4 linked regions of the Notamacropus eugenii genome follow. The protein of the gene in region 4 interacts with the protein of the main gene of each other region in a pairwise test. Links are inferred from orthologs where the notes say so. Each region holds a gene or a part of one and is shown on either strand. Other genes may lie near its edges. The genes, in order: FSBP, EWSR1, RAD54B and ATPAF2.

Region 1 (7,317 bases), on a different chromosome or scaffold from region 4:
AGAAATGTCAATTTTAGAAAAAAGGAACTTAAAAACCAAAGAATATATAAAACAAATTGTACAAAGTAGTACAATCAGACATTCTTATTCATAGTGATGCTTTTCCACCTGAAGATTGAACAAGGCATTTGATAAAATCAATAGGTAAATTATTTTATAGTATTACTGAAATCATTAATAGTTAAGACCTGGAAAAGACTTTCAAGATTTAGTCCAATATCCTTACTTTGGACATGAGAAAATTCAGAAGTAGAGATGGTAAGTAACTTGACCAAAGCTGGGATTAGAGCTCAGGTCACTTGAATTACAGGCTCTTGTTTTAAACAAACAAAAAAGGTAATGAAAAATAAGTTTACAGAATTATTTTCAGGGAATCTGATATTAATTAGTTACATTTTAAACTGTTCAAATTGTATAATAAATATCTATAATATTAAACAGGAAAAATATTAAAGGTTATTAATATTAGGAAAGGAAAAGAGGTAACCCTTAATAGAAGTAGGAGAAACGTGAAGACAGGTGGGAAAAAGAAAAATAAAATGTAGAAGACAGCAGAAAACTACAATATATACATTGTACAAAGTAACAAAGTATACAATCTTTTAAAGGCATTCTCCATAATCCTACTCAACCTAGGAAAAGTTTGCATACTTTGAACATTCATTATAGAGAATGCACATCAACTAACTAGTTTCTCTAATACACTCAAATTTCTAGACAGCATTAAGTGACAGGCAAGCACTGGACAGAAGAGCTGGTGTTTATTGCAGCTCTATTACTGATTAGTTAAATTACCTTGAACATGTCATTTCAACTCCATAAGCCCAAGTTTCTACATCGAGAAAATGGAAATAATCATAAACTATTCACCTCCTAAGGTTAGTAAAGGGATCAAATGATCCATTGTACACGAACCTTTATTATTAAAGTATATTTCATTGGACAGTTCAAAAGGTAAGCAGACATAGACATTTATACTTAATTCTCAGTAACAGCATTTTAAAAATATATAATCCAAAATCTAAGCTTTGTGCATATTTTTCCTTGCAATGAAGCTGCAAACATGAAACTGTACAAAGACATTGTACATGCAACTCAAGAGACCTTTTCCCCTACAATACTAGAAAAAAGCATTTTCTGATAACTAGCTAGTGGAAAGCTCCTATAAATTTCCCTGTTATTATATGTTAATTTTGAAAAGTATGTCAGGCTAAGACAATCAGTAATCATTCTATTTGTTTTAACTATGAATTAGATCGCTCACACCGACATTCTATTTTCCCCTATTTGTCCTATATTGTCAACTAATTATAACCAATATCTAACTGTAAAAATGAGTTCGTTGTTTTTTTTTAAACATCTCTCAGCTAAGTATAAAAACAAACTGATATCACGTTTGGGTGATAATTTTCTTCTTCTTGCCTTCTTAACGTAAAAAATATTTCACTATAGAATAACAATTCTAGAATTATAAAGTCTACACAAAGAGGAAAAGCTCTGGAAGTTTTATTTGGAGGACATTGGTTGCTGAATGAATGAAAAGTCACACCTCTTAAAAGGAATCCACAATAAATGCAAATAAAAATTATCTAATCAGAGTAGAATGCTAATTAAGCTGACCTTTTCAGCTTTCATACTATTTAAACTTGGATGTGTTAAGTGAATGTCCTGGATGATTTTCAGTTGAGTGGCTAAGTGTACAAATTTAACCAAAATTGAACACAAATGTCTGTCTACTCACCCTAAGAAAAAAACTGCTTGTGGAGATATTATTACAAGTTGGAAGTTTAGCATAGTTAGGAAGTTTTAAGAAAAAGCTTTCATACCTCCATTTTCACCTGTGACTCAGATCAAAATAATCACTTAATGAGTGCTAAAATACAACAAAGGGAAATTATCAATCTTAATTTAGAAAAAGCCAAAAAAGCAAAAACTTTTCTACTTAAAAATAAATGTTCTAATATAGAACAAGCTGGCAAAAATTATTTAAACTTTTTCTTAACATGCAAAATAATGTTCTCATTACTCATTAAGGGTTGTAATTAAATTGTAAAACATTAGAAGTATATCAACTATCTAGACTGAATGATAATTTATGAATACCATTAGGAGGTATTAAAGAGTCAGTTTATCTTCCATGATATCAAATTGAAAATTTATTGAAAGTTATACATAAAATATAGTTCTTATGAGCAATTTGCCTAAAATGAGCAGTAGAAGTGAAGGGATAACTTTTTTGAACCTCTATTTACATAATTCACTATTAAATGAGATAAAGGATATGGGTTGCGATCACAAACTTCATCCCATTTATTTTTTCAATCTCACTACCTGGAAACTGGACAGAAGTAAATATAAACACATAAAAATAAATTTAATGCAGAGACATTTACAAGTTGACTTTTTTGCAATTAACAAAGCAAAACAAAGGCACCATTTCCCCATCTGTACTGGTTTACTGTGCACATCTGTATCTCAGTATGACAGCAAAGCCAAGCTCAAAAGATAGGAGGCGCCATAATTTTCCAGTAAAAAAAGTAAAGTAAACCTTACCTTTGTATATTGTTCTTGTCTCTTCCTAGGCATACACTGGAAAGCTGGGGAATCATTTCCACAACTTTCTTGGTTGGCTCAGAAATACTGCTCCTATGATCTAACAGAGTCTCCTTTTGCTGCAAGAGCTCCTGTTTGGCGTTTTCTTTGAGCCTTTTATAGAGGGTACGCAGGCCTTGTGCTGTACGAGGAGGGCGATCTACTTCAATAGCATTATATGTATCTGCTATGATATCCCAGCATTTGTTCTTTTCCACTATTACTGAATGTTTATTAGTGTGCTCTTCAAGAATTTTAACATATGGCTTCACCAGATTTAGCAAATCAAGCTTTTCAGATAATGTAAAATTAGAAGATCTAGCCTTTCCAACCATTGTTATTTCCGAATTAAGTAGGCAGTTTCTGAAACCACCATGCAGTCTCTGGCTCTGCTCAGCTCTTTTTCACAAACAGAAAAAAAGATCAGGCTTAACTAGGCTAGCCTCATTTAGGCCCACGCCTACAGGGGAGGGTTTATTAAAATTCCTCCAGCTTAAGCTGACGCAGGTTCAGGAAATCTGCTTAAGCCAAGCCTGACCTACATAAGGCTTTTCACTGAAGAAGACAGGAAGGCACAAGTAAAACACACTTGTGTGTAAAGAGAACAGCCCTAAACAGGATTTAATACACAAAGGTCCAAAGATAAGCATGGTGCCCTCCTAAAAATTACCTAATTTAATGAGAATATCTGTTTCTCGCATGTGTTATCTAGCTGATAAACTGAAACTGCATTGTAGCTTTGCTTTTAGTGAGGACAAATGAAGTAAAAACTGTTTTGTGCTATTTATTTGCAAACACAGGAAACAGAAGAATGAAAAACTAGAGTGGCGTGTGTAGAAAGATCCCTAACAGAGCCCCTGATCACTGTTCCTGAGCTGCTGTTCTCCCTTACAGTATTTGCATAATGCTAGTCCTGCTGTCAATCATGAATTGCATATCCTCTAGCTAGTTAGGTTACACCCAGACTCAGACTCCACAGTAAAGCTAAGCTTCCCCTCCATTTTCCAGTCTATCTTATCCTCTGGTACAGTTTTTCTTAAAATGTAAAAGGTTTGGTTGGAAATATGATCTAAAAACTGAAGGTGGTAAGTAGGACTTCCTTTCTTTTGAGGAATAAATTATTCTTACTACAATGAAACTCTTAAATATATGCTAATATGCTATATCATATGTAAAATCACTATTCATTGAGACCTAGCAAAATCAAGCTGTAAGACTGCAAGCAATAAAAAAATGCGTTTAGTATTATAACAGAAACAGATATTAGTTTAGCTCTGCGTGCACGAGTAAACACACACACACACACACACACACACACACACACACACACGGGACCACAAAAGGAAACAGAGCAGTAGTATCAGTTTGTCACATTGGTTTGGACATTTGAATTCCAGTCTGAATAAAGCAGTCATTACACTTATTTTCTCTAGGATTACAGAGATTTTAACATATGTAAATGAACTATAATGCATCTAGGCCAATTCACTACCACTGTCATAATTTCCAAACTGGTCTTATTAATTCTTTTGAGGACGAGACATAAATAGAGAAGCAACTCATAGCATCTATTATTACATTACTCATGTTCAATCAATATATTGACAAGCATTTATTAAATGGCTTCTATTGTGCCAGATACTAGGGATACCATGGCAAAAGTAAAACAGTACTGCCCTCAAGGAGCTTACATTCTAAGGAGAGGAAAGGAAGGAGGGATAACATGCTGCAGCAGATTACTCTACAAAGCTGTCTGTTTAAAAAAAAATTTACATTTTAAGTATCTATATAAAGGAAAAAGTGGTAAACCAGAGAATAAAAAGCTAAGGAAATAATATTGTATAGTCTAATCTTCCTTGAATAATAAATACTACAAAAGTTCCCTCTTGAATATCAATATCCTGAGAATTTCAACTTCTTGGACATTCTAGGAAGGCAGAGATCAGGGAACTCACTGCTTTAAAGTGAATGAAAAGAGAAAGGGTGAGAAGAGTAAAGTAACTTGCAAGATGTTAGAATCTATAAAGAATTGCTTCAGGAATTCTACATCTACTGCTCCAGGTTCCTGTTGACAGGGCTGAGAAAGGAGTATTTAAATGCAACAAGAAGCAACATTATCATTCAGGGAGGAAAGCAAAATGACCTACGGTTTGAGGGAGTAGACTAAACCAGGCCGTACGGAGCTAAGTGAATTTCCATACCAGGTACTAGTATATGGTGAATGAAGTTAGTAATAGGTATTTTAAATAGATAAAGAAGTACTTTTCAATAATTACAGTAGCTTATCACAGCCTTTCGTGGACAATGAATGATTGTCCCAGCATCAACAACAGAAACAGAAATAACATTTATCATTTACATTAATCTACTGTTTTAACGGTAATAGTCAATGTTAGAGGTATAATGGGTCTGGTACATGTGCAGAGCACCTTGGGAAGGCTTCTCCCCATGTAGAGAAGCTGAGGCGCCTGATACTAGAAGATCTGGAATGATGTATAATGGAAATACCTTGAAAAGAATGGGAATCATTTGACTTTAAGTCTAAGAAGACTTAGATATTCTCTAACTGGTTCTGGTCTGCTAACCATAAGGTTAGGGGGAAGCTTTTCTCAACTAGTTGAGTAACTACAATGAAGATATCTTCAAAAGCTAAGCCAGCCTCCACCTAGGTCCTTTGGTCATTACTACTTTATGTGTGCTTTGGTGGTGTAACTATTGGGACATTCTCTCCTTCTTTTAGTGACCCTGTGTGAAAAGACTTTGGTCTATGGCCTCTGTGCTTGATCTTTTCCTGTTATAGGTGGAGGGAATGGAGCTTTCAATCTTGAATGTTTTCAAAAGTCAAGAGAACAAGACGCAGGAACTTGTGTCTGAGTCCACGCAGGGTTTTGCAGCCAGCCCAGCAGCACCAATGTCCTGAGGGGAAAGGAGTGATCTTCAGAAATGATGTTCTGGACTCAGGTAGTTGAGATGAGGACTTGTTGATACTTGCGCTATGTGGACCTGAATTTGGTGGGTCCAATACTGGGCAGGAACTGATCTAAGACAAGGTTGCTGAGGGAAGAGGGGTAATATTTTAAATTTCTTCTTTTTATATCATCAAAGTAAATATCCCTCAGTAAAAGCTAATTGATATTATGTGGGTAGTGGAACTAGGGCTGCAAGTCTCTACTGATTTACAAAGGCGGTAGGGGAAGAGGATACAGTGGGAAAGTGGGGAACCAAGCCCATGAGAGCAGAGAAGAAACCCCTCAAAACCCAGCAGTTATTCTAGAACCTAGAGGAACAAATGTAGCTGACCTGGCTCTCAGCGAGTAAAGCACACAACATACTAGGTAGAGGTACTATGGACAGTCAGGTACACAATACCCTGTTGGTGAACTTGTGAATTGGTTCAATCATTGTAAAAAACAATTTGGGATTATGCAAAAAAATTACTAAAATGTCACTGAATCACAGAGCACTTCATCAACCACTTAATCCAACAAAAATAGGAATAACTCATACACAATAATAACAGCTAGCATTCATATAGTACTTTGTTTGCCAAAGTCCTTTACATGTGTTATTTCCTTTGATCCTGACTACAACATCATATTATTATTACTCCATTTTACAGAAGAAGAAACAAAGCTGAAGAGATTAAGTGACTTACTCAGAATGAATTGCTAGTAAGTGGTGGAGGATTTGAATTCTAGCGTTCCTGATTCCAAGTTCACAACTTTGTCTACTACACTGAATTTCTGAGGGTATGCACTGATAATATCTAATATAAATTTTAGACTTTAAGGGTCAGACCTCGAATTAAGCCTGGACCTAAAAGCCCCTTTGTTCTCTAAAGTAAACTCACAGAATGCCTCTTCCTATGTCAATAAAGGTAGATAGGACTGACTTAACATTCCTTAGGAGACCTTTCTTAATATTTATAGATATATATTATGTTATGGCATGTTAATGGTAAAGAAAACACAGACATCTTGGGTCGTAATTTCTATTTGAAATTGTCAAACTCTGTTATCTTTTTGTATTTACAACCTATGCAATTAAGAAATTCCTTTCAAATGGTCTAGTTAATCACTTATGGAGACCATAAATCTGGACAAAGACTACCTTTTCTGTTCTAAAACAGATTTAAGCCTGTAAAATTTTGTTTGAGATTAGTCAGATTAACCTCTGGCTCCCTAGATCTATGTATTGTTAACTTACAAGGGAATTAAATAATAAATGTGCATTATTATTTAATAATAATTAAATTTTTTAAATTTAAATAATTTAATACATAAATTTAATTTAATTTAATTATAATTTAATTAAAATTAATTTAAATAATTAATAAATAAATAAATTTAATTTAAATAATTAAATTAAAAACAGGCATTTAGCCTGTGGCCTTTTTTTTAACCAAACTTTCAGGTCAACAACACCCAAAGAAGGAAGGCTATGTCAGAAAGTAGGAACAATTTAATTACTTTATTAACATAATTCCAAATGGCTTTCCTGAAAGGTTTCTTTCCTAGCTCATTCATAGCTCCATCAAACACTTACTTATCTTCCCACTGCCTATCCAACACCAGTTCTGATTTTTATTATTTTTTAGCAACTGTCTGGTATTTAAAGGCTTCACAACCTGATTCCAATCTACTTTTTTCAATTTATCCATTATTCCTCTTGATAACACTCTCAGGTCCAACTGTTACTAACATAACCTTTTACCTCAGGTGTCTG
Region 2 (6,834 bases), on a different chromosome or scaffold from region 4:
ACCAGATAGCTTTCTTGACCCCTTAACCTGTATTTCTTGTTACCCAGTGGTAAGAACATTACATTTGGTCCTAACACTTTGAGTTCTAACCTCCTTAGCTCCCTCCCTCTCCACCCCTTCCCCTTGAAAGACAGGCAATTCAATATAGGCCATATCTGTTTAGTTTTGCAAATGATTTCCATACTAGTTGTGTTGTATAGGACTAATTATATTTCCCTCCATCCTATCCTGTCCCCCTTTACTTCTATTTTCTTATGGTCCTTTCCCTCCCCATGAGTGTTGACCTCGTATTGCATTCTCCTCCCCATGCCCTCCCCTCCATCCTCCCCCCGACCCTGCAGAACCTATAATATAAGAATAAAGTTCAAATAGGATGCTAGCAGGTGGCAGGCTGGCTTGAGTTTTCCCTACCATGGGTTCCAGTCTAGACTTCTCTTCCACCACATTGATCTGCCTTATAGATACATAAGTGACTGCCAGGTCCTCTCAATTACCCTTCCTAAAGGGTAGGGACTGGGTCTTCCAAGATTTCAATATGACCTACAGAATCGATAAAAATAGTATGTACCCTGAAGGCCTTCAAAGGGAGTTCATCATTAACCTTCACAATTTATTCCACAAATATTTTTAAGGATCTATCAGGTATAAGGAGCTCTAAATTGGGAGTGAATAAATCACAACAGCTGCCCCCAGGAAGGTTATAGGGGAGATAAGATATGGGTTTAGTTGATGCGTGGGGTTAAATCCCATCTTCTGCCTCTTCATATCTACAAAAGCTTCCCAAGGCCTGAAATTTGCTCCCTTTTCACTTTCCCTTCCATCAAAGCACTGGGATTGGTGCTTTTTTTGGGCTCCTAGACCAGGCCTTCCCTGATCTTTCTCAATTAGCTGTCAATTTATCAGGAAGCATTTATTAAGCATCTACTACATGCTAAAAGAAAGGAAAAACAAACTTAAAATCTAATGAGGGAGGCCCCATGCAAACAACTACGGATAAAAGAGGTGTATGTGCCCAGAAAATTGGAGATGATCATCAGAGGGAAGGTAATGGGATGAAGGAGGATTGGGATAGACTTCTTGTAGCCAGGAGTTTAGCTGAGCCTTGAAAGAAGGCAGGGAAGTTGGCTGCAGGTAGAGATGGGGAAGGAGACGATTTCAGGCATTTCAGTGCAAATACCCAAAGGTGGGAAATGAGAGGGAGGGTTCTAGGTTGAGGAACAGCCAAGAGGCCCATGCCACTGGATGGCAGAATGTGAGGATGGCATCAAGACTGGAGACATAGGAAGGCACCAGGTTATGAAGGCTTATGAACATCAATCAGGGTTTTCTGTTTGATCTTGAAGGAAATAGGGAGCCTCTGGAGTTTATAAAGTAGGGGGTGGTGGTGACATGGCCAGACCTTCATTTTGGAAAGATCAGTGTGACAAGTGGATGGAGGATGGCTTGGAGTGGGGGGACTCAAAGCAGGCAGACCCTCCCTGCCCTAGCAAGCTATCACAATAGTCTGTGCCTGAGGTGATAACGGTCTGGACCAGGGTGGGAGCAGGGGCAGAGAGGAGAAGGGGGTATATTCGAGATATTTACAAAGATAGAAACATGAGGCTTTGGCAATGATTGGTAAGGGAGGAGGTGAGGATGATATCTAGTACCCTGGAGAGTACCAGGGACTGGGGAGGGTTTTTATTGGGCAGCAAAGTGTCAAAGTAGATAAAGACTCATCTTCCTGCGTCCAGCACAGCCTCAGATATTTACCAGCTGTGTGGCCCTGGACAAGTCACTTCACCCTGTTGGCCTCAGTTTCCTCATCTGTAAAATGAGCTGGAGAAGGAAATGGCAAACTGCTCCAGTATCTTTGCCAAGAAAACCCCAAATGGGGTCACCAAGTGTCAGACACAACCAAAAACAACAGAGTTTTATTAGCACATTCTCCCTTCTGAAATTAACATTAGAGCCATTTGTGTACCTGTTCTATCACCAGTAAACTATAAGGTCCTTGAGGGCAGGTGGGACTCTCACATTTGTCTTTGTCTTCCCAGCTAGTGCCCTGCATGTCGTAAGCACTTAATGTTTGTTGACCAGAAATAAATCTGAAACAGTATTTCAATCAACCAACATCTAGGGAGTGCTTAGCATGTACCAAGCCACATATTTCCATTGTGGATTCCTCTGGATTCATGTTTTCTTATCCGAAATGTCCCATAAAACATCTCTCGGCTATTCTGGAGGCTTTCCTCTGGCTATTTTTAAATTTGGTGGGTAGCAGTGAACCCACTGAAACATCAAACTATTATCTCTTGCTCTCCATACATGGCTGGGTCATCTCTTTTGCAGATCATACATTTAATGATATTCCTTTCCACCAAGATCTTATTGTGAATATGCTGGAGAGGGGTAAAGGTCTATGAGTGAAGAAGGATGGAAATAGCATCGAGTTCTTTTCGTGCAGTGATTGGCTTTGCCTTTTTTTCTCTTCCTCTTCAAAAAATCTATATATACTTTTTTGGTTACAAGGCATGTCTCTCAGGTTGAGGACAAAAGATATGGGGGGAAATGTAGGTGATAGCAAAACCAAAAGGTATCGCTAAAAGCAATTTTTAAAATGTGGAGACGGCTTACATCTCTCAAAAGACAATGAATAAATAGAATTTGTTACAAGGGTTTTCTTTTTCAACAGGGCAGGAGACAGAGACAAGGCGAATTTTTGTTCATTGAAAAAAATCAAATTTTACTTAAATTTAAAAATTGAGTGCTGGCAGGAACCCCAGAAGGCATCTAATCCAATTCTCCAGCCTGCATTTTACAGGTGAGAAAGGTCGGACAATTTGTCAAGGTCACACAAAGCATCCTAGATTTGACTTCACGTCGGACACTTTCCACTGTACCGCGTGGATCAGAATAGTATGTGTCCAAGAGGATCCTATGGACTGGCTGCGAGTTCTTCTCCGGACCTCAGCTCCCTCTACTGTAAAGTGAAGGGGCTGGACTAAAAGAGGTCCGGCGACCGGCTGAAACTTTGAACCCAGATCAGGCAGAGGATCCATGCATTTGGAGATAGGCTTGGGGTGGGGTCTGAGTTCAAATACTGACGGTCTGGACAAGCCAGTCCCCTTATGGGTTTCCTCTTTTGTCCGGGTCGGGCCCCCTGGGCGGACTCGGGCCAGTCCCTTGTCCCCTCTGGGCCTCAGTTTCCTCATCTGTAAAGTGGGGCATGGAGGGGCTGGGCCCTCCCAAGGTCAGCTCTCCGGGAGGGGGAGTCGATGCCCCTTGGAGGGGCAGGAGGCTGGGGGGTCAAACCCAGACTTCCAGAGCCAAGGGTACAAAGACCCCCGGCCATTTCAAGACTCGGAAACTGATACGCCAAGTGCCATCGAAGCCCGGGCCAGCCACGTGGCTCTCCCTCTGGCGGAGCGGGTCCCAACCTGGCCCCCCCTCCAGACTCCCCCCTCCACGATTAGTCAGCAGTTGTGCCACGGCCCCAGGATCCCTTCCCCCAACGCTCCGGCTCGTCTTCGTTTTTCCTCGGGGAGGACTATTGTGGGACGGTCCCTAACAAACCCAGGACGGAACCATTCTTCCAATCTATGCCCCGTTGGGGAGTAGGATCGGTGACCGCCCCGCCCCCAGGGCTCGTTCGTAGGGGCGGTTCGTGGCGCTTCAGGAGATACTTAGACGCCCCCAGCCTCCCGACCCCACCCCCTCCCGACTGAGGCGAGAGTTGGGTCGGAAAGCCCTCCCCTCGCCTCTCTCCGTCTCCTTCGCCTCTTCCCCTCCCCCCCCGCGGACCAATCCTAGTGGTAGAGCCCGAGGTTGTGCGGTCCGCGCCTGCGCAGTGCGGCGCCGAGAGGGCAAGCGACCGAGGGAGAGAGAGACGGACGTTGAGAGAACGAGGAGGAGGAAGGAGAGAAAATGGCGTCCACGGGTGAGTATGGCGCCGGGGCCCCAGGGCACGCCGTGCCGGCAGCCGAGGGAGCTGAGGCCTTCGGGGTTGGGGGCGCCACCGCGGGGGTCTTCTCGGGGCCTGGGGGGCGGCGGGTGGAGGCGGCGCTGCGCGGCCGGGCCGCGGGGCGGGCTTGGGGCCTACCTTCGCCCTTCTTCCCTTCCCCCTCCCCCTCCCCGCCGCGGGCGGGTGGGATTCTGGAACCTTCCGCCGCCCCCCTCCCCCTTCCCGGCGCGCGGGCGGGTGGGCGGGGAGCGGGCCGGGTGGGGGCCTCGGCTCGTTCGCGGCGGGGGCGGGGGGCGCGCGGCGACGGCGGGGGCGCGCGGCGGGAGGGAGGGGGGCGGCCGTGCGCGCGCGCTCCCGCTCCCGCCGCTTCGCGCCCGGGTTCGCGTTGGCCCGGCCGGGCCGCCGTCGTCCGCCCGCCGCCGCTTCCATTGTGTCCCCGGGAGAGGCCTCCCCGCGGCCCGCGCGCACTTCCCGCCACGTGGGCCGGCCCCTGCCGGGACCCGCAGCCGCCACGCCCTGCGAGTGGCCGCTCCTCGAGGGCAGGCGCCGTTTGCTCCGCTGATGCCCCGGAGCCGCCCTGATGCCGGTGGGAGGGCGCCTCCGGGCGGGGAGCTGCCTCCGAAGGGGTTCCCCGGGGGCGGGACGGGGCTGGGGGCGTTAGCGGAGGACCTGTCACCTGCCGCCCCGCGGCGGCCGGAACCTGCCCGTTACAGCGGAGGAAACTGAGGCAGGCCGAGGCGGCGAGACCTCCCCCTCCGGTCTGGGCCGCTATGGCCGGTAAGCCAAGCCCAGCCCCTGCCCTCGAGGAACGCCCTGGGGGGGCGGCCGCCGCGGGACCCCCTGAGCCCGGGAAGGGAGGGCTTAGAGCGGCTTGGCCCCTCCAGCCACGAGTCCGCGAGGCCTTTGTCTGCCCTGCTCTCGGCTGCTCTCCTGGGATCCGTGGTCTGGACGGGAGGGGGCCCGAGGGGCCGCTTCGGGCCTTTTAATCCTGGGCTGGCGGACGCTCTCAGAAGTAAGCTGGAAGGGGAAGTGCTGAGCTCGCAGTTCTGGACGAGGGGAAGCGACTTGTTCGTTTGCCCAGATTTTGAAAGGGAGCTGGGATCGTGCTGCCTTTGGGAGAGACTGTGACTTTAGAACCCCTGGAGTGCCTTCGTGGGCCTTCAGGCGGTTCTGAGAGACGGAGTCCGCTGGCCCTACCGTCTCTGGGCGTTAGAGTGAAACAACGGTAAAATCTTGTTGGACTGGAGTTGGAAGGGATCTGCTCTGAAATGTAAACTGTCTCCACAGTTTTCTGTTATTAGAAGAACTTTGCGTTATCTTTTCCGCTAATTTGTTTTTTTGAAATTAGCAAATTCGTAGATAGGTAGAGGTACCCAGAGCCATGTATCTAGGTAGCTCAACTTAATGGTGTTTCCGTGGATTATTCGGAATCTCTGACCTAAAAAGAACAAAAGGCAGGACTTATCTTGAATTATGGCTAAGTAATATTTGTACTTTTTGGCTTCCAGGATTGTTGGAAAACCTGGGTTGATTAAGTGTATGACGAGAGAATCTTTTAGCTAGCTTTTGGGCTTAAGGAAAGTTGTTGACTTATTAAGCTCTATGCATTAGTTTAAGATGTAATTGCTGTGAAGGATTTCATGCATTTAGGAATAAGCCAATTCAAATGTAATTAGCTGTTCCCTCCAACTTTCCATGAATTTGTTTTATTTCCTGGGGGTATTTGGAGCCTCTTAAACTTAATGGTTGTGGGAGGGAACTGAGAGGACGTTACCCTACTTAGGTCTCTGCCCCCTATTAGATACTGCCCTGAGGCACTCTGGCTTCTGGCTTCTATCCCTCCGTTGAACAATAAAACCTGGGTCTTTAGATACAGACCTAAGTAAGATGGGAGTGACCCTAGAAAGAAACCTTTGTGTGAAATGCACAAAGAATGGGAAAGTGTTTTTCTTTGCACTCTACCTACATTTCTCCTTCATGCCTTTCGAAGAGGAATTGCTCCTGCCAAAACCTAGAGAAAGGGGGGAAGTAGATTTTGAAAGCTTCTCCTTCTCTCCTGCAGCATGTAGTATTTGATTTTGATAGCTAATCTAAAGATATACTTGTCCTTGATTGAATTCATTCGGTATAGGAGCATTGGGTGGGTAACTAAGTCCCTAAAAGTGGCTTGGTCAATACTTGTTGACTTTAACGTGTTTTTGCTCTACTCGACCTGAGGAGGGAGATATCCTTCACTAAAAATTTATGATGTATCTAGTCTGACTACTGTTGTTAATAAACTGCATTCATTAAGGTGTGTCTTTGAAGTCATTCCCCACCCCCAATTTTATGGTCTTCTGCACAGTGAGATTGGATTTTTAACTTCTTATGGTTCCCACTGGTACTTTGCATCCCTTCTCAGAAAGTTTTTAAATGCAGAAAATAAAATAGAGGATTACAAAGGAAGCCAGTTATAGTTATAAAAAAATTCTATGTATGTGGACCCCAGATTAATGACCCTGGGACTAGATGGTCATCAGAGATTCTCTTTCAGTTTTGGAGTAGTTTGTGTAGACATTATTTTATCTTCAGACTTAATAATAATAATGGCTAACATTTACATAATGCCTCTGTGTTTCAAACATTATGTTAAGTCCTTCACAAATACTATCTCATTTGATCCTCACAACCCTTCCAAAGGAGAGGGTAGGTGCTATGCTGCTATTTTCCTCATTTTACAGAAGAAGAAACTGAGACCGAGAGGTGCTAAGTGCCTTTCCCAGTGTCACAGGTGGGCTCAATTGGAACCCTGGTTTTCCTGACTTGAGACCTAGTGCTTTATCCACCTAGCCACCTAAACTTGTTATGCAAAGCACATTGTCCGAAGACATTAGATAGTTTGTATATTTACG
Region 3 (7,776 bases), on a different chromosome or scaffold from region 4:
CCTTATTCTGCTAAAAAGTTCAGCAACTCAAATGGCCTCTGCCACTCCTTTCCTCTTTTTTCCTGATATTAGCAAATCATCCACATATTGTATTAATGTTGTCCCTTAGAGGTGCAGGATGTTATCTAACACCTGTTCCAATACCTGACCGAATAAATTTGGGGATCCTATGAATCCCTCAGGAAGTATAGTCCATCTATACTGTAGTTTCCTACCTGTGGAGGGATTTTCCCATTCAAATGAAAACAAGTACCTACTTTCTTTAGTTAGTGGGCAGGCCCAGAGGGCCTCCTTCAGATCTACTACACTGAACCACTTGTGTTCACAGGGAATTCTACTTAACAGGGTATAAGGGTTCAGAACTACAGGATGTCTGATCATCACAATTTTGTTTAGGGCTCTCAGATACTGAGCCATTTTGTACATTCCAACCATCTTTCTGACAAGAACAGGGTTGTTAAAAGCAGGACATGCAAGGTTCTCCGAGTCCATCTTTTACCAAATTTTCCAAAACTGGCTGGAGTCATCTCTTTCCTTCCATTGGGATGGAATATTGTCTCACTCGTAATGCTTCTTCATTCTTTAGTGTGATCTTCACAGGCTCAATCTGCAATCTCCATCTGTTTCCTTCCTTAGCCCACACTATTGGGTCAATAGTCCTCTCATCTTCTTTTAGTATTGACATCCCAATTATTATTTGCTCATTCTTATCTGTTTTCAAGACTAATTGTATAATTATATATCTCCCTAACAGGTTGGTTCCCACCTCAAGGATATAGAGAAGACTCTCTGTGACCTGCCTCTGTCCTAACATTAAACTGACTGGTTCAAATATGGGTACTGAAAATACCCCTCTCTTAACCCCAGAAACAGTTAGATTCTGATCTGAGAATTTGATATCTGTTGGTTTGAAATTCAATGAGGACCAAGCGGCCCCCATATCTAACAAGAACACCACATCCTCTTCTCTGGGTCCCACCTTGATGTTTGTCAGGGGTTCCAAGTGGAACCTAATATAAGAAAACCCCTGACTCCCCTGATCTTCCTCAAAATTCATCAGGGGAATAATCCTTTCTTCCTTCTCCAGAATGGGACATTCTTTCTTAAAATGTCACTGTTTCCCACAATGGAAAGATCCAGTCTGCTGGACAGGGTGAAAAGTCCCTCTATGGCCCCTTCCTCCTCCATAACTCCTTTGTTTCTCAGCCCCCCAGTTTCCACCTTTACAATTATATCCTCCTTGTTCATGCTTTTTCTTCATTATCTCATTCACAGTAGTTACCATAATTCTAGCTTTCTGTTTTTGCTTTTCTTTCTCTCTTTTCACAAACACTTTCTGTGCTTCCAACAATAGTTCCTCCAATGGCTTCTCACTCTAGCCCTTTATCTTTTGTACTGTCTTTCTTATATCAGGTCATGCCTTAGCCACAAAATGCACTTTCAATAATCCTTTTGCCATTGAGGGGTCAGGGTCCATTCCCAAGTATTTCCTCATCTGATCTCTCAGCCTCTTCAAAAAGGCTGAGGGTTTTTCTTCTTTGGTTTGCTTTATCTCAAAGGCTTTAAAGAAGTTTTATGATGTAGGGGCAGCTTCCTTTATGCCCTTAATTATCATGTCCCTCAGATCTCTCATCATTACTTTATCAGCCACTCTACTGTTATCCCAATTTGGGTCTATATTGGGAAATTTCTGCTCTACAGCCATACTCCCAGTCCTAGAGGGTGTTGCTTCTCCCATTCTTGAATGGCTGCTCTTCTAATAATACTTCTTTCTTCCCCTTAAAATAATATGTTCATTATACACATCATTTCCAGCCAAGTGTAAAAATTAAGTCCTAAGAACTGGTCTAATTGTTCAACTAACCCTATTGGGTACTCAATTAGAGATTTCATTCCCTTTTTAAAATTTTGGACCTCAGTACCTGTGAGAGGTGCATTTACAAGTCCAATCTCACCTCACCCCATTGGCACTTCTTTTAATAGGTACATTGGTTCCCTCACTTCCTCTCTCCCTTCGGATTTCAGGGAATGGGAGATTCTGTACATCCTTTTTGCATTGCTCTAGTTCTTTCCTCAATCTAGCATATCAAAAAACATCCAGCTTTGGTGGGAACACACCGGACTTTTTTCCTGGCTCTTCTTGTTCCTTACACCCTGGACTTTTACATAGGTCACTTAAATCTATCCTGGCAATTCTCCCAAAGGAGGAGTCTGACAGGAGCAATTAAGCGGGAGAAAGGGACTTCAAGGAATTCCAAGGGTCCCTTTCCCTCATGTATGTTTTAGCACTACCCTGGTTCTCTAATTGGAGCGGGAACAATTGGTTGTCAAACTCCCTCTCCAAAGTAACCTGACTCTTCTTTGGAGAAGGATTATTTATCATTTATTTATCATTAACAAAAACATTCAGAGCCTGACACAGCCATTCTTCAACAGCCCCATATTTGGGCCAACATATGGCCAGTGATATAATACTCTGCTTTGGCCACTCAAACTAACAATACCTGATCATTTTGTTTTTATCTCTATCTTTGGCCTCTGACATATTCTTCCAATATTTTAGCTTTCTCTCCAAAGGATTATCTGGAGGAATGCTAATGCTCACAGAAGAATTCACTTCCTTTCTATGAGGGGAATCCTCCCCTTTTGGTGCCTTACTTCCTTTATTCCCCATTCTACCCTCCCTCTGAGACTTCAGACTGACCATTGAACTCCCCCGTTTCACCCCTTTTGGTGTTTCCCTTGTAGGACAGAACAACAGATCTAGGCTTCACACTCACTTTGTACCAATAGTCTTGGTCACACACACTCAGTCTCAGACTTATAGAATGATCCCAACCATCAAGGTAATATTTAATAGTCCAATTTTCTTACCTTGATTTGTGCACAGTTACCTGGTTGCCAGGCATGTGCCAATGATTTATCTCAGTGTTCTGGCTTCAGTTTCCCAAACAGTCTCAGGATCTTGGGCAGTCTCGAGAGCGGACCATTTGCCCATACTCTGGGCCACTGAAATCAATGAGATAATACCTCCCATTCTCCATACTGGCTCCTCCCCTCCTTGATTCCTGGATCCCAGATGAGCTCCCCAAATTGTGAGAAACATGCTTGCAAAGGAATAGGACCTTAACTAATGAAGGCAAGAAAGTGTTTTATTACATTCTTGCAAGAGCTGGTTTCCTATACATATGCACACCAAGTGCTGGGCACAGTCAGCTTTTATCCCTATTTCCAACTATGAGATCCTTTCCAAAGTCCTCCAATAGCTATGAGGTGTACACACATCATTCGTGTTTCCCTTGTCCCTCTCTCATCATGAATCACATGTATATTAAAATACACTGCTCCCACCTTGGGAGAGGATAAGGTTAATATGTATGAGCTTATTAACCACGGGTAAATGCCTTTGCCTTCTGACCTAATAATGGATCTTTGTTGCCAAACTGCACTTCTGATCTACACCAGCTAGTTTCTTGCTTATGTCCTGCTATGTTGTCTCACTCTTTCTTTCGGTGTTAGGTTCTTCTTTTATTTCTGTGAAAATATAACTATCTCTTCATTTCTCATATTCATAATCTCCTCAAACCTTATCGCATGTCAAATTTGATTCCATCAATTTCCTCAGGCTCATCCTCCCACTTCCCTCAGTTGATACTAGTCTCAAACTCCCTAGGCCCATTTTGGCTCCAACATCAGTTCCTCTTCAGCATCCAGCCTTCTTATCTTTTACAATTACTTTCCCTAGATATTTTCTGGCTATATTCCTGCCATGTTTCTGCTTCTCACTCCCCTCTCATCCCTCTCTTATTGCCTTTATTCTGGGAGTAGTAGCAAAAAAAAATCAACACTATCATTCTCTACGTACCATCTCCTTGATTTTCTAGACCACAATCCACCTCCTGGAACACTGTTTCCAAATATGTGTGGTCTTCTCTAATTTGAATCTAAATTTCTTGAGGGCCAGGAACTATCTTGTTTTTTGCACTTAGATTCTCAGGGTTAAGCACATACTAAGTGCTTAATAAATGCTTTTTCATTCGCTCATCCTGTATCCCAGATTCACTCCTACTCAGATCCCTCTACCTAGTAAATCACTTTTCTCTTCACCCATAGCACCCCCTTCTCCTAACATTCTTCCCTTCCAAATACTTTTTCACCTATATCCTCCTACCCCCAAAACCATTATGTCCTGGACTTCAAGGTGAATTGGGATCCAAGATGAAAATGGAACATAGAGTGAAAAATTCCAAAATAATACGCAGCAGGGAGTTCTAGAATAATGTGGGTATCAATATGAAGGGGTGGTGAGTACAAACCCAGTAGTTCATAGGCTCAAAAGATCATAGACATGGAGCTCAAAAGGACCTTTGAGACTATCAGTGAGACTACCTCTCATTTTCCAGTGAGGAAACTGAGAATCAAAGAGATTAAGTGATTTGCCCATGGTCATACTACTAGTTAGTATATGAGACAGGATTTGAACCTGGGTTTTTCTGAATCCAGAAGACAGCAAAAGGAAATTCAGAGACATAGGTAAACAGGACAATTTTAGAACTATAGTATTAAATTTATTATATACTTAAAAAAACCAGGCAATATATAACAGAGATTCAAGATTTCACATACTCTTATTCTTCTGTGTATGTGTAAATAATCATGCTTGCTGACATCTATCAAGTTTATAATAATTTTAAAGTTTTGTAAAAAGTTTCTTAGATTCAGTAGTAGAGCCAGCCAGCCTTTCAAGTAGCAATACACTTCAATTTGCATAACTGAATCTTGGAGAGTTTAAAAAAAATCCACTGTTAAGTTTAGGAAGGTGCCCAGATGATAGCTAAGAATGAGAATATGGTATTTATAGGTCTACCCAAATTATGAGATTAGCATATTAGGCATACAAAGCAAAAGGCTTGTGCTTCCAAATTTTGGGGGAAAACAATGTTTGGTTTTTTTTTAACGTTCACCATGATCCCTTCTTAGCTCATGCACAATGATAAATGTGTCACAAAGACAAAATGGGAAAGCAAATCTGTGGCATTACCAAGCAGCTCTCAGGTTGAGTGCTATAAATGGTTGGGGAAGAAGGAAAAAGCTAATTCTGAGAGTATTCTCAAGAGCCAAGCAAGAATAATAGTAGGTCAGAGGGAGAAGGTTATCATTACATATTTGGACCATGACTCCCTATGAATGGCCATTTTTCTCATAAGGAAAGAATAAAAGGTTTAGAAGACTCAAGGTAGAGAATAAAGAAAGGCCTAGTTTAAGTAGGTAAATATATCTATTCACAGTTGGGGACCACTTCCAGGGAAGTGAATTTAGTGAGATTCTATATATGCCCAAAAGAGAAGTAATACTAGAGTATTGCCACTGTCACTAGTAGCCTGCCATGAGCAGGATTAAGTGTATCTGAAATATGATATTAGGGTAGGGAACCTGTCATATTTCCTAAGGTCCTCTCTCAGCATTTCTCATGGGAGATTTTATGGTTCATATACTTGACCTTATCCAACAGAGCTAAAGTTTATCCCTTCTTCTGTTCTCTGTCAGCTAGAGCTCAACCAAATCAATTAAAAGAATCTTCCTGGGTATGGGAGGAAAAAATATGTCATCAACATACAACATTGAACTATTTTGGAAAACATCAGAGTTGAGAATCTGTGTATCAAAGTATGTAGAACAAAGTACTCCCCAAAGAAAGCCCTGGGAGGTCAGAAGCTAATAGGAAGGACCCCAGAATCTCTAGTCCAGGGCTGTAGTATTTAAGACTCTCCAGGACAAGTCCCTAATATTCTCATGATCCAGAACTCTGAACCTCAAAGACCTTAAGGTACCTAACCAAAGAAAATCAGTCAGCGAAAGAACCTAGGTAAAACTAAGCAGGACAGACCACACTACCCAAAAGTTCAGTAAGGGGCAGAGTCTGGTTCTGGCACAAAGCCACATTTCAGGAACTAAAGCTTGAAAGATGAGCAAACAAATATTGGAGAGGATGTGGAAAAATTGGGACACTTCACTGTTGGTGAAATAGTGAAACGATCCAACCACTTTGTTAAGCAATCTGGAACTTTGCCCAAACTATCTGTCTGTCTGTCTGTCTGTCTGTCTGTCTCTCTCTCTCTCTCTCTATCTATTTATCTATCTATATGTATATATATATATATATCATTTGATCTATCTATATCTATCTATCTATCTATCTATCTATCTATCTATATATATATCATTTGACCCAGCAATACCACTACTTGGTCTATTTCCAAAGATGATTAGGCAGAAAGGAAAAAAACCTCTGCTCTAAAATGTTTATAGAGGCTCTTTCTGTGGTGGCAAAGAAAGCGATATCCATGATTGGGGAATGACTGAATAAGTTGTGGTAGATGATTATGATGGAATATTACTGTGCTGCAAAAAATGATTAGTGCAAAGATTTTTTAGAATAACATGGAAAGACTTGCATGAAATAATGAAGTGTGAAAAGAGCAGAATCAAGAGAACAACGTATACAGTAAGAGTAATACTGTCTTAAGAACAACTTTGAGTAAATAAGTTATTTTGTCTACTATAAATAACCAAATTCACTATAAAAGACATGAAGAAAGATGCTATCTGCATGCAGAGAAAGAACTGATAAACACAAGTATAGAATAGTTTTACATATACATATAAACACCTATTTGTGTCTAATAGTAGCCATCTCTAGGGAGAGGGAGTGGGGAGGGAAGAAAAAAAGGAAAAAAAAAGACATTTACATAATAATGTTGTTGTATATTTAAAAGGAATGGCAAATTGTACATAACAGTTTGCAGTTTCATGTGCAATCATCTTTTTTATTGTACTATGTTGTAGAAATGCTTCTTTTACTCCATAAATTAAAAATAAAATAATTTTTTTAAAAGATGAGCAAGCAGAAGACACACCACTAAAAAGAATTATTATAGATGCAAAGGAGACAAAAATCAACCTAGAAGCAGAGAACAATTACTTCACAACTAAAAGCAAGGACTCAAAGAAAAAAAACTCCACATATATTACATGTAGTATAACTATCAAGAAGAGATGAAGAGATGAAAAAAAATGCAATAAAAGCTCTGAAAGAAATGAAATGGGAATAATAAACTTAGAAGACAAAGTGGCAATCCTTATCCAAGTAAGATAATCCCTGAAATGAGAACAGACCAAGGAGAAACCTGTAGAGGGCCGAGCTCTGGACTGTGGCCCCCTGGTGAGCCCGGAGACCCCGGGGGTGAGAACCCGCCTTCGGGTGCTGGGAACACCCCTTCCGGAGCTGAGCTCTGCCTCCAGGGTGGAACATGGGAGGAGCTACGGCAGGCTATATAAGGGGGAACACGGGAAGGTAGGGAGAACTGGGGTAAGCAATAAAGTGCAGTAAGCAGCTCCTCTGGTGAACTGTTTGGTCATTCCCCTCCCCCACAGGAGGGGGCCGGAACCGTTGGAAGACCAGGTAAAGCAGTTGGAGAGGTAAGCTCCAGGCCACAGCTCAGGGCTGGCCCTGAGCAGAAACCAATGACTTCTTCAGACAATAACAAATATTGGGACAAAACTCAAAAGAATGAAAAAATACAGTAAAACATAAGTCATCTGATATCAAAAGCAAATGACTTGGAAAACAAATCAAAGAGACAGGTAATGTAAAAATCAGACTTCTTGAAAACCATGATTTTTTAAAAAGTTTAAACAGTATAGTGCAAGAAATCATAAATGAAAATTATCCAGATCTATTAGAAACAGAAGGCAAAATTAAAATAGAAAAAATCC
Region 4 (7,653 bases):
CCAAAAAGATCACCTTTAACCATGACCTTCCAACATTAGATTGTGTACTCTTTGGAGGAAAGACACAGGGCAAACACAAAGCATTAGACTGCCTTTGTTTTGAGTTCTTTCAGATCAACTGAATAGGACTGAATATGAAACTATTGGATGGAGGAGGTCAAGCAAGCCCACTCAGAAGAAGCTGCAGGGCATTCTGAAGGAGAGACAGGAAGCATCACAGACCAGTTGGGTCAGCCAACATCTCTCTTTGGAACTGTAGTGCTTTCAATCCAGTGTCAAATGGTTCAACACAGAAACTGATAGGATTTTGTCAGTGGAAATGGCATTGAAGATCAATCATCACCATCTGCTTTGCTGCTGTACCCTAAGGACCAGGGGACCTTTCAATCTGACTTGTAGCTGAAACCTTCCATATGGAGTTTCCCCAGGAGAATGTGAGCTCCTTGGAAGGAGGGAATGGCTTACTTTTCTATTTATATCCACAGTTTTTTTATACATGATAAGTGCTTAATAAATGCTTCATTCATTCATCGACTCATTCAGGAAGATCTGCCACATGATGAATTTTCCACAGAGTAAATTTCCTACCAAGTTCCCTTATATGATAAAAACTCTAAATGAGTCAACGTAAATTATTTTCTAGGTAGTGGAGACAGATCAGAAATCTTTCCCATAGCAACTATATTAGGGTAAAGAGTACTGGCCACTAACTGGCCAGGCCAACTCCCTTTCTCTCCCTGCCCTGCCCCCTCTGCAGTATAGAGAGGGAAAGGGGAGACATCAATCATATATTTCAAGTTAGAAAAGACAGTCTACAGATAAGGAATTGCTGCCAAGAGAATAGGTGGCAAAGTAGCTGTCAGAATTCATCTACAGGAACTCATAAAGATCTCTGCTTTCCTCTATACCAGGAAAAATCTGAAGAAAAATCAGGAGAAAATGTATGGGACAATCCACTAGGAAGGGCAGGGGGAAGTGGAGTACGACCAATCGACCAACCAGTCAGAAGATGGGTTACATCTATCCTTTGCCTAGACATCCAATCATCAGGCACCTCTCAAACACAACCCCAGCACCCCCTTCAACCATTATTGCCCAACACTACCCCACTTTGCCTTCAGCTCCTAAACCTCTCCCCTTCTACTCCATCACTAAAACCAATCAATCCCAGCAGGTATGTCAATGCATCTCCCACAATCCCCCGAACCCCAGCAAACACATACACTGCCCCCCAGATCACCTCATGATGGTTTGGTGCCTCTTGGATAGTCCTATCCTCTAAAGGAGAAATATTAAAATTCATCTGTTTGGTTAGCCACATCAATCAAATTGACTGAATATTTAATTCACACCCTTAACATTCACATCAAAGTTTTGAAAAGTGAAATGATCACTATTACTAAATCACTCTAGCTTGTTTTTATTGAGAAAGCAGCAGTATGTATGTTTAATGTGATTGGGAAGTAACCAGAAAATCTGCTGTACAATACAGGTGTTCACTGGTTATATATATACTATATATGATAATATAGATAATATATAATAGCCAGTGATAACCAAGTACCAAACTTACAGATGTTATACATTTTTCTTTTAGCAAAAAAAGTGATAGTTTCTGCTATGAAAGTGGTTGTCAGAAATAGTACTGTACTTAGCAGTTATTTAAGAAGAAATTAACTTGAATCTGTTCTTTCAATATAAAGGTGATGTTTTAATGAGTTTTAATGTTTTAAGAATGAGAATGGTTTTTGAAAGAACTAATGTAAGAGAGCACTGGAAAATGGAAGGTTGGAAATATTTCCATCATGTGATTTTGTTGCTAAAAATGCTATGTTGTCATCTATAAACTCTCATATCTTCAAAGTTAAAAAAAAAAAAACCTAAACAGCTTTGGAAACAATTTTCTAACCTGTTTAAAAATCTTCTAAATGAAAAGTTTCAGCAGGTTTTGAACCCATTTATTAAAAATATTAAAACGAGACACCTGCAGATTTTAACTTGCAGTAGAAATTTTCTAGCCAACTTTCAACCAAAAAATACCTCAGTATATCATCGATAGGGCCGAAAAGCGAGTATGAAGATTGAGTGAGTAAATGCACTGTTTCCACTTTGTTCTTTGTCAATTTTTTCCCAAGGTAAATTTACCATTAAAACCCAAATTAACTGAACCTGGGACCATGTACAGTGATACATGTAATTTATTATATATAATAGGATTATACCTCTATCTTCATATATGTACATATCGCTATACACATCTATAAAGGGTGAATCTACTAGACATATCTACACATACACCTACTTACGTGGATCTACCTCAATCTACACATGCCTAGTTATAGGCACAGACAGATGTAGGTCTGAATGGACAGACAGATACAAATATAAGCAGATCTATATCCATATATACACACACACATATACCTCCATACATTAGGGCTACACGCTTCCACATGTTTTCCCTGGAATAGGTGACCCCTGGGCTGCAGGGCCCGTCCGTCCATCCCGCCATGGCGGGTGCCCCTCTCCGGCCCCCCCCGAGCTACCTGCGGCCCAGGCCCGGCCGCAGCGGGGCCTCCCGCCTGCGCTCACCTGCGGGGGGGGCGTAAGCCCGGCGGAGGAGCCAGAGCCCCGGGGCCGGCGCGGCCTGGTCCCCCGGCTCTACGGGGGCGGCAGGGACCAAGCAAGGACGGCGTGGGAAGCTCGCGCCTCCGGCCCCGAGCCGAAAGCAGCTTCGCCACATAGCACCTTTGGGCGGGGACAGGGAGCAATCGAGGAGGGGACCCCAGGGCGTGAAGGAGAAAGACCGCAACCTCTCACGGTTGGGGCAGTTGCACCGGACCCGCCTGCAGAGTTCTCCCACCACTAGCTGAGTTCAACTTCCTTTGGCCACCGCCATATGACCCTGAGCCACTACCGGCCGGTCCCCTAACCTTCGAGCCCTCCCAGCCAATCAGCGTCACGAACTCGTTCCGTCTCTAGGCAAAGACTACATATCCCAGCGGGCCTTCGACCTCTGGACACGTGTGGCTCACGCCAACCAATAAGAAGAAGCGGCGGCTAAAATTGCTCCCGCCCCCTCACCGGGTCAGAGCCAATTGGCCTGAATTAGCTTATGTGTGTATGAGTGTAAGTATGTGTGTGGGTGGGTGGGTATGTGTCTGTGTGCGCGTGCGCACATGAGTGTGTAGGTAGGGGCGGGGTGGGGGGGGGCATCCAGGGAGGGGGAGCCCCCGTTCTCTAGTCCTCCCGCACCCGTCGGCGGCTAGAGTAGCTTGTCGGCCAATAGCGGGGTGGGCGTCCCTCTCCTCCCTCCCTCCCCTCCCTTTCTCATCCCGCGCGCCTGCGCGCGCCCGGCCCCCTCGGTCAGCCCGCCCTCCTCCGGCTCCCGCGCGGCGGCCGCGGCGGCTTCTCCCCCCTCCCCGGCTTTCCCTTCCCCCCTCCTCTCCCTTCCCCTCCCCCCTCCCCCACCCCACCGCCCTGGCTCCGGGGGACCCCGAGATGCCGGTCCGCACCGAGTGCCCCCCGCCGGCCGGAGCCTCGGCCGCGTCCGCCGCGTCCCTCATCCCGCCGCCCCCCATCAACACCCAGCAGCCCGGAGTGGCCACCAGCCTCCTCTACAGCGGCTCCAAGTTCCGCGGCCACCAGAAGAGCAAGGGGAACTCGTACGACGTGGAGGTGGTGCTGCAGGTACCGGCCCGGCGGGCGGCGGGCGGGCGGCCTCCTCGGCCCGGCCCGGCCCGGGCCTCCCCGCGGCCGGCCTCCCTTCCTGGTCCGCACCCGTGCTCAGGCCCCCATGCCCGGCCCCTGGAACTCCCCCCCATTGTTGACACCCCCAGCAATGGGTGGGGGGCTCCCCCCCAAGCAGGGTCTTAGTTCTCTGGCCCAATTCCCCCTTTTCGTAGACGTCTGTCCTTCCGCACCCCAGGCCGGCCTCCCTGAGTCACCCCCCGACCGCTGCGGGGGCCTTCCCTTCCCCATCTCCACCTCGGGGCCTCTGCTCCCCTCTTGTCCCCGGACTTCCTACTCGGTCCTTCCTCACCCCCACCAGACGTCGTGCCCCCCGATATCTTATATCTGTCCTTCCCTCCTCCCGGGGCCTCCCTGAGTCACCCACTGACCGCTCTCCTTCTGTCCACATCAGTCTGTCCTTTTCTGTCCGTAGGACCCCCCCGCCCCCCGCCCCGACACTCCTGATATTGCCCCACCCCACCCTCATCTCCACCTTTCTCTGCTGCACAGAACATCCTCTTCTCCTGCCTTACACCCATTCATTAGAAAGGCTTTGATCCCTGGAGAACCTGCTCATTTCCTCCTCATCTGGGGACCTGCTCCCTGGTTGAAATAACCCATGAAACCTGGCAACTTTCTTCCGTACCTCGCCTCTATTTCCTCTTCATAACCTGACCAACAACCACTCCCACTTCTCCTGAGGAAGAGGTCTGGTTAGTCCCCCCAGTGAGCTTCCCCTCCCTTCAGACAGCATTCCTTCTCTCTGTGAACCTCTATTAAAGAGGTCCTCCTTGCCTCTTACATCACCTCCTCTCCCTGAGCTGGCTTTGGAAATGTTTCCTGGCACATCCGTGCCACTTAGGAGGAATTTGCCCAGGGTGGTGATGTGAAATTTTGTCCTGGATGTGTGAACGGGATGGACAATCTTGATTGCTCCTTACTCATGCCTTTTTCTTTGGTCTAAGAGGGTCTAGCATCTTGCCTCAGATCAAATAGGCCTTTAGTCAAAAGACACCTTAAAAACAAGTTCATGAATCCCAGATTAGGGACCCCTGTTCTTGAGCGCAAAACAAACCTTTTTTCCTTGTCTTGTGGAAATCATTATTCTCCTTTCCTGGAATGGGAAGATGTCCAGTGCACTTTGCCTTAACCATTTTCTTCTTAGTTAGCCTAGTCTATATACCAGAGGACCTCTCTTCTTTTCTTCCCTTAGGGAAGGTAGATGATTTTCTTTCAGGCCTGAAAACTTAGCTGCTATCCTTTGTCATATTGTTTATATTAAGAGAAAATGTGGTGATTTATCTGTGCTCTTCCTGAATTTTAGAAACAATATATAATAGGCTTTCTCTTCATTTCCCAAATTTTGTGTCCTTTCTAGAGCGTAGTTGCGAATGTCTTTTACAACCCATCGCAGAAATCGTCTTAGTGAAAGAGAGCTCTAGAGATTAGCCATAAATTGTAAAGATGAAAATGTTTTTGTCTTCTTTGTGACCCTGATTTCTAATTTGGGACCTTAATCTCAATAATTCACTTTTTCCACATTTGAGGACAACCTAAGTTTGGGGCAGGTGAGGATGTATATCATGGAAAAGGATAAGAATGAGTCTGCTGAATTTGATATTTTAGATCAGGATGAGGACTGGAACTTTAAGACAGCTAAAAGTAGAAGCCCATGGATGCTGGCTATAAGACATCTTAGCTCAAACGGAACTTTCTAATGTGGATTGTAGTCATGTCAGGTAAAGGCTGTGCTTGTTCTGCAGGTGGATGGTGAGCTCGTTCATCAAGCTAGCATTCTTGTTGCTCCATCAGCTAGGACCTGGCTACTTCTGTCCCTGTGGCCTGTTTGCTTGTACCGTATTCATTCTTGAGGTTCTGCCTTGAGAAGAATTCTATCATATCATGCATTTTACCGGGTCTACATTTTTTTTTGCTGCAGTGTACTTCTTGCTATCCAAGAAGCCAAGTGCAAAGGAAATCTTAGGACACTGTGGAAGGAATATAAAGAGAGCACCTTTGTGTCCAGATGTGCTGAGTGGCTCCTTTTTGCTAAACATGTTCTTTTATCTTTCTCATCTACACTCTAGTTACAATATACACTGTTAATCTTCTCCTTGTTAATTCCAAGCTTCATAATGGTCAGTTTAAACAGAATAGATGAAGTATTGGGTTGAATGTAGGACATTCTGGTTCTTTGATGTTTTGTTATTCTTAAAATATATTAGCCAGGTCACAGATGCAAAAACAAAAAACAAAACAACCACAGCCCATCTCATCAATATCCATGTCACCCTGGTATCTTTCCTTCACTTGTTAAACCCCCATATATGTTTTTTCATTGAGTGCTGCATATATAGACAAGGTTGTAGATTAGAACTTTATATGTCATTTATAATTTAGGCAGTGCTGTGTAGTGGAAAGAGTATTGTTGGTCTTAGAATTAGAAAGACCTAACTCAACTCTGCCACTAACCAGCTGTGACCTTGAGAAAGGCAAGACTTAATCTCTTTCTTCATCCACAAAGTGAAAATAGTATGTATGCTAAATATCACAGTTGTGATGATCCATCCAGAATAATATATATGACTCCAAGAAATATGTGAAAGCACTTTATCATTGTGAAGTAATATACAAATATATATATATATTGTTATGGTAAAAGTTCTTTATTGCAGCCTGCAGCAGGTTGGTTTCATGAAACAGTGCTGGATTCCTAAGGTTAGCAACACATGAAAGCCTTTAAAATACAGTTTTCACATGCAGTATGGTAGTCACATAAAACCGTGCTCAAATGTTTTGGCTCTGTAGAAGACTTGTTTTGATACATAGGATCATAGATCTAGAACTGAACCAACCAGCCTTAGACATGAGGACAGTGAGAGGCCCAGGAAGGTTTTGGCTTGTCTCAGGGTTACGTAGATGAGAAGGGGCTAAGATAGGATTTGAACCCCAGGTTTTCTCTTCCTGGGTATACATATAAAATTTCTAAGTGTTTGTATTTCATTCACAAGATCTCTTTAATCTCCCTATCTTCCCAGCTGCTACAAAGATGTTCCAAATACCTCTTAACATTTGAATTTTGGTGTTGTGGGGAGTTTTGTGGTTCTTAAAAATATCCCATGTGTCTATTTTTAAAATGGCTATGGTAGTTTTAAACTCAGAAATATAGACATCTAACCTCTCTGGTTAGTTAGTGTTGCTAACTAAACTTTTAAGTTGTTATAATAAAAATTATAACAAATTGTTATAATTTAAATAACAAGTTATAAAAATTATTTTCCTTCAAAGTGTTTCCTATGATTTTAATTTTTTTGGTGCTTCTAACACTTTGCTCTTAAGACATAAAAATAGTATTTCAGCTACTAGTAGCCCCATCATATACATATGCATCATGTTCTGCCAGTTTCATGTTAATGATAAAAGATGGTGACTAGTATAAAATAATGGACAGACTAGGAACATATGAATAAACTGTTTAATCATGAGACTGATAATTTAGTATAGAGAAATTGAAACGGGTACAGAGGTATTTTGAAAGAGATAACTAAAACTGAAAGAGTTACAAACAGGATGTTGTTTTAGATCATCTTTTAAGAGGCTTTTCTTCAGTTCCTATGTATATATAACTGGCTAGAGAAAGCTAATGCCTGATGGTTATTGAAAAGTGCTCCCTAAAGTCTGCTACCTTGACATCACACAGGCATAGGTCAAAAAAGGAGTTAGTCTTAAAAGAGTTACTGTGTTCTTTGGGATACCATTAGGCAGGATACATATTAAGGTCTGCGCCAAAATAAAGGTCTTAAAAGTAGTGTTTTGAGCCAACTGGTTATGTGTCAGTAGATGGAAGTCTTGGACCTATCTCTGTCATGTCCATCCTTTTAAAAAGTCAGGAGAGTCATAGGCAAATGTCTTGGGCAGATA

The links.
Region 1: the proteins of ATPAF2 (region 4) and FSBP interact in binary tests that used the Homo sapiens proteins (3 or more experiments, as listed by UniProt). The two-hybrid records come from large-scale screens. The link is inferred for Notamacropus eugenii from reciprocal best matches to the Homo sapiens genes ATPAF2 and FSBP.
Region 2: the proteins of ATPAF2 (region 4) and EWSR1 interact in binary tests that used the Homo sapiens proteins (3 or more experiments, as listed by UniProt). The two-hybrid records come from large-scale screens. The link is inferred for Notamacropus eugenii from reciprocal best matches to the Homo sapiens genes ATPAF2 and EWSR1.
Region 3: the proteins of ATPAF2 (region 4) and RAD54B interact in a two-hybrid assay, tested with the Homo sapiens proteins (2 studies listed by BioGRID). The two-hybrid records come from large-scale screens. The link is inferred for Notamacropus eugenii from reciprocal best matches to the Homo sapiens genes ATPAF2 and RAD54B.

Annotation. Positions count from the first base shown.
Region 1 is NC_092875.1:158,658,806-158,666,122, reverse strand, and holds the start of FSBP (fibrinogen silencer-binding protein), read right to left. Parts: upstream 3,018-7,317; 5' UTR 2,928-3,017; coding exon 2,554-2,927; intron 1-2,553. UniProt on the Homo sapiens protein: Transcriptional repressor that down-regulates the expression of the fibrinogen gamma chain. Represses transcription of GSK3B gene promoter via its interaction with APBA1.
Region 2 is NC_092875.1:16,381,634-16,388,467, reverse strand, and holds the start of EWSR1 (RNA-binding protein EWS), read left to right. Parts: upstream 1-3,822; 5' UTR 3,823-3,906; coding exon 3,907-3,919; intron 3,920-4,316; exon of another isoform or gene 4,317-4,713; coding exon of another isoform or gene 4,714-4,720; intron 4,721-6,834. UniProt on the Homo sapiens protein: Binds to ssRNA containing the consensus sequence 5'-AGGUAA-3'. Might normally function as a transcriptional repressor. EWS-fusion-proteins (EFPS) may play a role in the tumorigenic process.
Region 3 is NC_092875.1:158,614,752-158,622,527, reverse strand, and holds the start of RAD54B (DNA repair and recombination protein RAD54B), read right to left. Parts: upstream 3,006-7,776; 5' UTR 2,910-3,005; coding exon 2,875-2,909; intron 1-2,874. UniProt on the Homo sapiens protein: Involved in DNA repair and mitotic recombination. May play an active role in recombination processes in concert with other members of the RAD52 epistasis group.
Region 4 is NC_092874.1:335,298,452-335,306,104, forward strand, and holds the start of ATPAF2 (ATP synthase mitochondrial F1 complex assembly factor 2), read right to left. Parts: upstream 3,014-7,653; 5' UTR 2,744-3,013; coding exon 2,593-2,743; intron 2,540-2,592; exon of another isoform or gene 2,513-2,539; coding exon of another isoform or gene 2,425-2,512; intron 535-2,424; exon of another isoform or gene 1-534. Other genes in the region: GID4 (glucose-induced degradation protein 4 homolog), read left to right, coding at 3,502-3,690. UniProt on the Homo sapiens protein: Plays a role in the assembly of the F1 component of the mitochondrial ATP synthase (ATPase).